3 linked regions of the Arabidopsis thaliana genome follow. The protein of the gene in region 1 interacts with the protein of each later gene in a pairwise test. Each region holds a gene or a part of one and is shown in the gene's direction. Other genes may lie near its edges.

What was found.
Region 2: the proteins of AT2G25520 (region 1) and COR413-PM1 interact in a two-hybrid assay, tested with the Arabidopsis thaliana proteins (one large-scale study listed by BioGRID).
Region 3: the proteins of AT2G25520 (region 1) and AT4G33905 interact in a two-hybrid assay, tested with the Arabidopsis thaliana proteins (one large-scale study listed by BioGRID).

What each region holds. Positions count from the first base shown.
Region 1 is NC_003071.7:10,858,557-10,862,313, forward strand, and holds the start of AT2G25520 (Drug/metabolite transporter superfamily protein), read left to right. Parts: upstream 1-2,111; 5' UTR 2,112-2,393; coding exon 2,394-3,437; 3' UTR 3,438-3,757.
Region 2 is NC_003071.7:6,947,699-6,951,455, forward strand, and holds COR413-PM1 (cold regulated 413 plasma membrane 1), read left to right. Parts: upstream 1-2,152; 5' UTR 2,153-2,464; coding exon 2,465-2,634; intron 2,635-2,719; coding exon 2,720-2,827; intron 2,828-2,910; coding exon 2,911-2,981; intron 2,982-3,069; coding exon 3,070-3,314; 3' UTR 3,315-3,327; coding exon of another isoform or gene 3,328-3,362; 3' UTR 3,363-3,494; downstream 3,495-3,757. Other genes in the region: AT2G15980 (Tetratricopeptide repeat (TPR)-like superfamily protein), read right to left, coding at 3,651-3,757.
Region 3 is NC_003075.7:16,253,869-16,257,625, reverse strand, and holds the start of AT4G33905 (Peroxisomal membrane 22 kDa (Mpv17/PMP22) family protein), read left to right. Parts: upstream 1-1,865; 5' UTR 1,866-2,033; coding exon 2,034-2,375; intron 2,376-2,701; coding exon 2,702-2,930; intron 2,931-3,195; coding exon 3,196-3,320; intron 3,321-3,471; coding exon 3,472-3,561; 3' UTR 3,562-3,757. Other genes in the region: AT4G33910 (2-oxoglutarate (2OG) and Fe(II)-dependent oxygenase superfamily protein), read left to right, coding at 57-152, 222-287, 374-493, 597-683.

The sequences.
Region 1 (3,757 bases):
TCATTCATTTTGTCACAAAACTGAACAACATGTGGTTCATATAATTTTTTTATATTTAAATATAAGAAACAAGCTTTTGTTAATAAAATGACGAATGGAGAAGAAGAATATACGGTTCCTCCACATTAGCAATAGAACCATACTGTCTCCACTCTTCCATTGAAGGTAAAAAAATGTAATGGGCTCTCTCTCTAAAGAACGGTTTTTCTGGCAGAGTTCCGTCTAAGTTTCCAGTTGAATCCGGCTTTGGTATCTGGCTTATGACACGACTAATTCAGTATCTTATTTTTGTTATTTATATGAATAATGTCCACGGTTTTAATTATGGGGATGCCACTTTATACGGTGATTCGTTTAGGTGAAGGTTTTACTTCTGCTTGTACTATTGGGTCCGCGGTTGATAAATACTATCAGATATGATTGCATACTTGCATGTAACTGATAAAAATAATATTTGTTACTTTACGTATTTTGAATTACCAATTAGCCTGTATTTCAAGTAACCAGAACTACTAGTTACTAAGCAAGCAGTTGTGCACTTATTAGATCATAATAATAATAAGTACTCAATAACTAAAATCACCTTAAAACGGAAATTAAAAAAATGATCGACTTTGATGTTATCATATCCGCCACTTTTGTTTCGTTCTCTCGGGCTGAATCGTTTGTTTCGTTCTCTCTATCGTTACTAGCTCTCTGTTTCTTGTTTTGTCTCTATTCATTAACTTTGCTTCCCTTATTAGTAATTATAATTTATAAATTCTAAATGATGTCTCTGTAAAAGAGAAACAAAGTAGATAAATATTAAGGGAGAAATGTAAATGTAACTGCATAATCGGTTTGCTACAAACTTATTTTTCCCTCCTAAAATGTTTCTTTTCTTTCTTTGCAAAAGATTCATTCGCTATATGCCTGTATTGGTTAAACATTAGTAGAAGTATTTTTGCAATTGGCGTGCAGAACATGGGAAGTTAGTAGCTACTTTATATATGGCCACATGACTTCCTCGCACGTCACGTAATCGGTGAAATGCTGTCCATGTGACAGTCAGACTCTTCGTAAAACAAATGTTCCGAAAGTAGTAACTACGGATAATTTATTTATTTTTGCAAACGTTACTGTAGTTACAAAATAAATAATGTTCCTTTGTAACTTTGGCGTGGGATTTCCAAAAAGTCTCTTGTCACATGAAACGGTTTTGAAAAATTTATAATCTCACTTTGAATTTGGTATATGTATTCAGACGAATGATAAGATACCAAATTATTTTAGTCGTTTTAATTTATAGATTTATTACTAACTTTTTTTTTTGTAAATTTAAACTTTCAGATTAGGCAACACCAAATAAATGATATATTTAATAGAAAATGTATGGTCGAAAAAAAATATTGTAATGTCTCTACACCAGAAGCTTTTGTTTTGACTTTTGAGTGTTTGAATCATTTGAAGTTTTGAACAGAATAATTCCACAATCAAAACCAAATAATATTTTATCAGGCGAGCGAAAGACAAGATTTTGACAGGTATTTGTACAAGTACTGAGTCGGTCAACAAACCCCGTCTGGACTCTGGACCCGAAGTAACCCAACAAACGTTGCGACAACTACATTAGCACCACCACCAAGGCACCAATAATGCAACGTAAGAGGGACGCAGCAAAACTGTCGCGATGTGAGATTCACGCGCTCTAATTTAAACGTTGACTCTTTGTTTCATCGTTACTCTCTCCCATTTATTTACTTCGCATACTCTCTTCGTTACAAGTTTCCATTTAATTACTCTTAAGTCTCTAACTAATAGCTTTAGGGATTCGTCATTAATTTAAGGCAACGTAAACTTAAAGAGTTTCGACTAAAAGCCGTTTCAGGAAACATACATCATCACATACTTTATCTAAATAACTGGCTTATTAATTTTATAACAAAAATGACGTTATTTAGTGTTAAGATATACAAATATTTAATTTTTACTAAATTAGTTAAGGTAAAATTGTGTTCCTTTCTGTGAGTTTTCCGCAATATTAAAAAACCCTAGAGAAATTAACAAAACGTAATTGACTAAAAAAAGAGTTCAAAACAAAACATTTGTTACATTTATTTCATAATTTAAAGACTAAGTATAAATCCACTAGAAAACAGATGATTAAAAATGCGGGTCCCACAATACGCCAATCGTCAAATAATCGCGCACCTTTTCGCCACGTAGCATAACAAAGTCACGTAAGCCCTTCCTCTACATTACAAGACCAAACTCAAAGTCTCTTTCTCCCCCAAACCCAAAAACATTGACCCAAAGAGAGAGAGACTTCTATCGTGCGCACCTCTCTCTCTTAATCCTTTATCCTGCGCACCACCACCACCATCTTCTTCTCCGGCGAAAACAAACCCACCGCCATGGGGAAAGGTCGTGCACTTTCCGACGGAGTGATCAAAAAGATCATCCTTTCATACACCTATGTCGCAATCTGGATCTTCCTCAGCTTCACAGTCATCGTCTACAACAAATACATCCTCGACAAGAAGATGTATAATTGGCCATTCCCAATAACTCTCACCATGATCCACATGGGTTTTTGCTCTTCCTTAGCTGTGATTCTCATCAAAGTCTTCAAAGTCGTCGAGCCTGTTTCAATGTCACGCGAGACTTATCTCAGATCCGTCGTACCAATCGGCGCGTTGTACTCACTTTCTCTCTGGTTATCAAACTCTGCTTACATCTACCTCTCTGTTTCCTTCATTCAAATGCTCAAAGCCCTAATGCCTGTAGCAGTTTACTCAATCGGGGTTTTGTTGAAGAAAGAGACTTTCAAATCTCAGACTATGACTAACATGCTTTCGATCTCGTTTGGTGTTGCTATTGCTGCTTATGGTGAAGCTAAGTTTGATGGTTGGGGTGTTTTTCTTCAGCTTGGTGCTGTTGCTTTTGAAGCCACTAGGTTGGTTTTGATTCAGATCTTGCTTACTTCTAAAGGAATCAATCTAAATCCAATCACTTCTCTCTATTACGTTGCTCCTTGTTGTTTGGTTTTCCTCTCTGTTCCTTGGATCTTTGTGGAGTTTCCAGTTCTTAGAGATACTTCGAGTTTCCATTTCGATTTCGTGATCTTTGGAACCAATTCTGTTTGTGCGTTTGCTTTGAATCTTGCTGTGTTCTTGCTCGTTGGGAAAACCTCTGCTTTGACTATGAATGTGGCTGGTGTGGTTAAGGATTGGCTCTTGATTGCATTCTCGTGGTCGGTGATTAAGGACACGGTCACACCTATCAATCTGTTTGGTTATGGACTTGCCTTTTTGGGTGTTGGATATTACAATCACTGCAAGTTACAGGCGTTGAAGGCTAAAGATGCACAGAAGAAGGTTCAGGCAAGTGATGACGAAGCTGGGAAGCTTTTGGAAGAGAGGGAAAGTGAAGCTAAACGCAACGAAACCCAAGATTGATCTGTTCTGATTCAAGAATGCAATTTCAGGAAATAAGAGCTTCAAGGTTAGAATGATTTGGGAAGATGGATTTTGCATTTTCATAGGTATGATTATCATTGTCGGTGTTCGTTCGTCTACGTTTTAGTTTTGCGATTATATTTTTAAGTTATGGCTGATTATATTACATAGTGATGGATGGGTGTTTAATTAGAGGTTCATGAATCTTTTGAACTCCATTGTATCTTCTTCTTTTGAGTTGTATTTTGTTTCTTACTTCCTCATGAATCTATCTTTGTGGGTAACAATTGTTTTAGTAGTACTTCTTTATATTTTTTCCC
Region 2 (3,757 bases), 3.9 Mb from region 1:
TTTAAGTTTCCTTGTAAACCTGTGAAAGTAATGTGTTTGAGAAACATATTTTTATTACTTTAATCAATAGTGTTCAATTATTATTAACCGGGATTTATATGAAGATGGAACTTTCTATTCACTCTGTAATTAGGAACATTCGCATCATTCAGTAAGAAATAAAACAAGAAATGATTATAATTTTTCTAATAACGTAGGAATTCTGAGGGAACCCAAAACTAAAATTTGATTGAAAGATTTTGAAGTGGCCAATCATGAATGAGATTGCTGGAAGATATCATCAATATTCAATACAGATAACGATTTTTTTTTTTTTTTATTGATACCAAATGAGCTTTCGGCTTTTGGCCCAGACGGAAACAACGGTTACAAAAGGTTTGGGCTTTGGGCTTTGGGCTTTTGATCCACATGACGATCATATAGTTCTTTCCTTCAACACAAAACACTTGAAGTGTATCTTATCAACTAAACTCTATTCCAGCAAAATTATTTCAAAATTAGATATATGGGAGAATTTTTACAGGCCATTCTAGATTTTCATTAACGCTGTGATTTATCCGTTAATAAGTACGATTAAGAGTAAAACGACGTCGTTTGCAATTGAAACAAAAATCCCCAATTCAGAAATAAGAAACCCTAGATCCTCAAATCTCTTCTTCTTTTCTTCTTCGAATTCACTCCTGTATTTTGAAATCAAAGTGAATTGCAAGGCACAAAGTTCATGCTTTAAAGCACTGCAAATGGCGAAGTCATGATTTATATGGCATTTTTCCTGTTTTTGTTTCAATTGCAAACGACGTCGTTTTGCTCTTAAACGGTCTCATTAACGGATAAATCACATCTTCTAATTGCTCTGTTTATTCAGTTGATGTTGTGACTAATTTGGCTCTGTCAACGAAAGTTAGTGATTTTATCTGAAGTCAACACGTAATTGATGATTTTAATCACAAAGTACAAAGTTTATGTTTAAAGCACCACAAATTGCGAAGTCGTGATTTAAATGACATTTTTCCCGTTCTGGTTAAACTAAGTTTCTATTATTTAATATGGATATTGTGGAGCGTAGTGTCAGCACTCAGCAGCTTATTTAACGTGATACTCTTTAACCGAGTAACAACTAGTGAGGTCATATTCAGGACCGATCCAACAATATTGAGGGTTTTACTCCAAGTAAAATTTTAGTTTTATTTTTAATTATCATAAACGACATAAATATAATATGGAAAGATCACAAATACTGATTAAAAACTAAAATCATCAAAACGAAAAAGAAAAAAGAAAAAATTGGGTTCAACTCTCATGAGTTATTAAACATTTTAGGTTTTAGGCTTAAATCTTTAAAAAAAATCAGAACTGAAAAACGAAAAATTCTAATTTTATTTTGGACTCTGATTCATAGCTTATGTCGCTTATGTAGTTATGCTAGGGATGAATCTGTATTTCGTTACCGTAATGAGAGTTCGATACTCTCTTACTTGTTACGATTCTGGAGCATGTTACATTTTTTTCTTTCCGTCAACAACAACTTTAATATGGTAAAACAAAATTTATTTTTATTTGGCTGGTCCTACTCAAGACAAATCTTCTGCCGACATCACATAATCATATTAAAAACCATAACTTCTGCCACTCTGTTTTTTTTTTTTTTTGTAACCATTAACTGATTGGATTTTGATCCATCTCATCTGATTTTTTAGCTCAACAATTTACTTGCACATTTTCTATTTGGTTTTATTTATACTTAGTTACATATATGATTATCGAACTAGTATCTCTTTATAATTAAGTATTTTTCTATTTTTTTTTAATTTAGATTTTTGTGAATTCATTTACAGTAGAAAACTGTAAAACCATATGGTCTAATTATAGAATGAAAACTTCAACGAATCCATACAACTTATTGGCTAAATATAATAAATCTGCTTGAAGCATATTGTTATTATTTAGTTGGATTTGACGATCTCTGACTTTAATGTATACCGACATACCCTATGATTTAGATGTTGATTTTTCCCATTCTTAATATATCCATGTTAAGAGATTCCACCATAACATATCTAATTATTTGCATTGTAATAAATATTATCATTAAAAAAAAATACAACTGGACAGCTGGCTCGTCCCATTGTTTCTTACGTCCACCAATTACATTTGTTAAAGCAAACTTATTAGAACGTTCATGTGTGAGAAGTTGGTGTCGACATGTGTCTAAGGTCTATGTCAGAAATCGGATTAGCTTATTAAGTAAACTATACTATATCATTGTTAATATAGATAAAATATCTAGTTCGTCCAAATTAAACTATTTTCATAACTGCCACGTGGCGTAAACGTATCCATCGAGTCACTTGTAATATCTTTATAACCAAAGTCTTCCAACACATTCATCACCATCTATCTACTCTTTACTCTCTTCTCTTCTCACATCAATTATTCATAGTTCTCTCTTCTCCGGCAAGAAAAGATGCCTATGAAGTCGTTGAGGAATGACCATGGAACCCTTAAGGCCATGATCGGATCCGATTTCAACGAGCTCACTATCGCTGCTAAGAACCTAGCTACACACGCCTTCACACTCACTGGTTTAGGCTTTGGTACCTCTGTCCTCGAATGGGTTGCTTCAATCGCCGCCATGTAACCATTCTCTCTGTTTCTATGTCTCTTTCCTCTATCCGTTTCTTGTGTTGATCTTGATGAGGTTTTGATGTAATAAATGCAGATACTTGTTGGTGTTGGATCGAACCAATTGGAAGACGAATATGCTCACATCACTTCTCATTCCTTACATCTTCTTCAGTCTTCCTTCCTTGATCTTTGGTATTTTCAGGTATAACACAACAAAAGCCAGAGACTTTTTCTTTACTTATCATTATGTTCCTAAACCCTAACTTGTGTCTGAAACTTTGACAGAGGAGAAATTGGTAAATGGATTGCTTTCGTAGCTGTTGTTGTACAACTCTTCTTTCCTAAACACGCCAGAGGTTTGTCTACTTTTTTTCATTCACTCTCCATTACAAGCAACAAGACTTTGATTCTGATTTGGCTTATCTCTGTTGTTTGTGTTATTAGAATACCTGGAATTACCGGTGGCTTTGGTTCTTCTCGCCGTGGTGGCACCAAATTTGATTGCTGGCACATTCAGAGACAGTTGGATTGGTTTAGCTATATGTTTAGGTATTGGATGTTACTTGCTTCAAGAACACATTAGAGCTTCAGGTGGATTCAGAAATGCATTTACTAAAGCCAATGGTATCTCCAACACCGTCGGGATCATCTGTCTCGTCGTCTTCCCCGTCTGGGCTCTTATCTTTTAAGTTAACTCTTCAGTTTCTTTTTCCATTTGTCTTTTTTTTTTCATGTAAGAGTGATTGCTTTGTACGATCTGTCTCTCCTCGTAACTCTATCAATGAATGTGATTTGAATAAGAATTGCTTCAGCAATAAGATATCATCATGAGGTGTTAGTGTGGAATAAATCTCCTCTTTCATCATTATAGCTTTAATGGGTAACGTTGTATCATCTTACAATGTGTACCACTTCTTACCGCTTTCTCGTACCACCACAAAACTTGTCCACATTGTGTCACCAATTGGTTTCTATGTGGTTTTGTCATCTTTGCTTCACCAGCTTACCAACGAAGCTCAACTTTTCTAGCTTTCTTCTTCTGCTCTTAGCTTGAGTGATTCAGCCATTTCTATGGCCAACAATGCTGATGTTTCCTCATCACCTACTATTCCATACCCGTCGATAAAAGCTC
Region 3 (3,757 bases), on another chromosome or scaffold:
CTTTGGTTTAGTGCTTATCACCCCTTTAATTGTACGAGATTTGATGTTTTTGGCAGTCATTCAATATTTTACGGTATGAACTTGGCCAAAAGTATGATTCCCACTATGATGTTTTCAACCCAACAGAATATGGACCACAATCAAGCCAAAGGGTAAAATCCTTAAATCTGTCATATTTATAGCTTTCTTTAGAACCCGAGACCTCATTTGAATTTACGCAGATTGCCTCCTTCCTGTTGTACTTATCTGATGTTGAAGAAGGCGGTGAAACCATGTTCCCATTTGAGGTCAGTTTATAATATATTATTTGCTTACTTATTATACAGACCCTTTCGTTAGTTTTGATTCCATTTAAACGCTTTCTATTTAACAGAACGGTTCTAATATGGGCATCGGATACGATTACAAGCAATGTATTGGGTTGAAAGTAAAGCCTCGGAAAGGAGATGGTCTTCTTTTTTATTCCGTGTTTCCAAATGGAACGATTGATCAGGTAAACAAAGTTTGAACACATTTCATTTCTTCTCTTGACTCCTATTCCTTGGATTAGTTCATGCTAATAGGAGCTCTTTGCTGTGGTTCCAATGCTTCTGCAGACTTCGCTTCACGGGAGCTGCCCGGTGACCAAAGGAGAGAAATGGGTGGCAACCAAATGGATCAGAGACCAAGACCAGGAAGAATAAGTTAGGTTTTTTTCCATATATCTATCTCAGTCTCACAGCTTCTATCTTTTGACTAAAAATCTGCTGCTGGATCCCTCGTGTACAGTTCTTCGCTGAAACAGTGTAACTATTTAGCTTTCTTATAATGCGAATGATACAAAAATTAAAACCTGATAATGAAAACTTGGTTCGAAATATCATTTGAACAATAGAAGTTTCTTGTTGTTTGATATTTCAGTAAAAGAAATATAAGAACTTATAAGATTAACACAGAAGTGATGACAAGTGTGGATCGATTTGGGTGTTCTGATTACTTGGTATTGAGTATTTACTGCTCGTTTGAGTCCGTCAAGTCTCTTGTTAATTTGCAATGTGTACTAATTTTTTCCCTTATAACTTAACAAAATGTGTTGTATGATTGTATTTGTATCTATTAAATGGAAAATTATTTTGTCCATGTTATATATATAAAAAATGTATCTGAGCTTACACACCAGGGACCATCTTTTTATTCGAGTTTTTGTGGACACATGAGTCATGAGTGATACCGATAATAATTTTTGTTTTTTTTTGTGTGTGTGACATCATCTACGTTTAGTTTGGTTTAGAATCTTCGAAAAATTGCCGACAGAAAATAAGAGAATCTTCTCTTCCAATGATCTACGTTCTTTTTGACTAAATATATAAAAATAAAAGAGTTCATAAAAAGTGGCTAAAAGTCGGAACTTGGGACACGAACGCAACACGTGGCTTCTACTAAAGGTTAGCGTCACTGAATTAAGTTTTACGTGTCAGAAGTGATGACGTCGACACTAACCAATGTGAACAGGACGTGTAAACAACCCTAGAACACTACAGAACAGAAACAGTTTGGGGATGTTTGGTTTTTGAACCGTCCACCTTTGACGGTCACGCGCTCTTCAGCCTTCAGGCACTCTTTCCTCCGCCTAACATAGAAATTGGAAAGGTTATTTTCTCCAATAATTTGGCTTGGCTTTTGAGTTTATTGAGTGATTAGCTAATAATAAATAATAATCAATTTGTTGGCTTATATATAATCAATGTGCTAAGTAACACTATAGCTTTCACAAAAACTTCGGTTATTAGGAAAGATCTCGACAATTCTGTATCTAGAAAAGGCATGATTAATTAATTTATTAAGAACAAAACTAATTTATGAAGAACGATTGCAATGGTACGAGACGCGAGTAGAAAAACCTTTATACTCGCGAAATATACAAATTGTGTGTTTCATTATTTATTGGCATTTAAACTTTTTAAAAAAACAGAGCTCTGTTTCTTCTTCTCCACCGCCGTTATATATAAAACCCTTCCCTGAACCCCCAAAACTCTCGGAGCCATCACACGACAATGACCGGCGCATTGTTTAGAAACGCTGCTTCCGACGCCGCTCGGATCTTTCGATTACAGCGAGCAACGATGACGAATCCTTTTGGAAAGCTCGACCCTTTACCGATAGGAGGAAACATCCAGCGATTGCAGTCGAGGCCTTTTTATCGTACGCCTCAGTTTCTCGGGAAAGCAAAGGAAACAGGTGTCTCTGGTTTCTGTTCGTCTTCGTCTTCGTCTTCTTCGACGGTCTCTACAGCAGGATTCATCGGATGGTATTTGGGAATGGTGAAATCTCGGCCGGTTCTTACCAAATCCGTCACGTCCTCGCTTATTTACATAGCAGCCGATTTGTCTTCGCAGGTAATTTCAAAAATCTATCTCATTTTTGTTTTGTAAGCCTACAAATCAGATTTTAGATATTCTGTGATTATGTTCTTGTTGATTCAGTCCTAAGATTCCATTGTGTTTTCTAACAAATGGTAATAGTAGAAGTCACTGTATCTCCATTGTGCTTTAGAGATTTGAGATAGGACAAGAATTACTTCTAGATTAAGAAGTAATGATCGATTCTTAGTAATGTGGATGTAGTAGCGGGTTTTATGTGAATTGAGTTGTTATATTTGCTTACGTTTCTTTGTTCTTGTATTGTTGTTGACAAAAGTGTGACTTGTTTGATCTTTCAACAGACAATTCCACAAGCTTCAGTGGATTCTTATGACTTGGTAAGAACAGCAAGGATGGGAGGATATGGGTTATTAATCTTGGGTCCTACACTTCACTATTGGTTCAATCTCATGTCAAGTCTCTTCCCAAAACGAGATTTGATCACAACGTTTAAGAAAATGGCCATGGGACAGACAGTCTATGGGCCTGCCATGAATGTTGTTTTCTTCTCACTGAATGCAGCCCTACAGGGTAAGCTTTCAGCTGTACATGAAAAATAATCAACTGGTTCCTTTCTTATAGTCTATATATTCTTCTTTGAGCAACATATAAAAGTATGATTTTTCTGAAACTCTAGATCCTGTTGACCTTCAATCTTAAGGGTTGTTATAGAGCAGGTTGTTTGATGTTACATTCTTTCTCTAAATGGCGTTTGAAGAGAGGAGAATTGTTGTTAGAATTTGATCCTAAGCTATTCTTGATGACATCAAAGTCTGATTTTCAATTATTTTTTCAGGTGAAAATGGTTCAGAGATAGTTGCTAGATTGAAAAGGGACCTACTTCCCACAATGCTTAATGGTGTCATGTATTGGCCTTTGTGTGATTTTATTACTTTCAAGTTCTGCCCTGTTTATTTACAGGTATGTATGATTGATACCTACCACTTTATTTCCAACTTAGCTTCACTTTGGTTAACCTTTTGTTCAAGACAGATCATATATTTGCTGCATTCATTTTGTCTTATCGTGAGTTTTGGTTATCAACTGAAGTCTGGTTTCTTTTTGTCTGCAGCCACTTGTGAGCAACTCGTTTTCGTATCTATGGACAATCTACATAACTTATATGGCAAGCCGTGCGACGCCAACCGCCATTGAAATTTGAAAAAGCTCTCTGGGAAACTCTCTCAGTTTAGAAATGAAGAAATGAAGCCAAAAAACACTTTTACTAAAAGAAACAGGGCATTCTTCAACATTCTTTGTTTCCTCTCTCCAGATTTTAGGAGGATATAATGTAAGGAGTTTTGGGGAAAACTGTGCATTTGGACATGTCTTACACTCTTAGATTTAATTCAATTCTA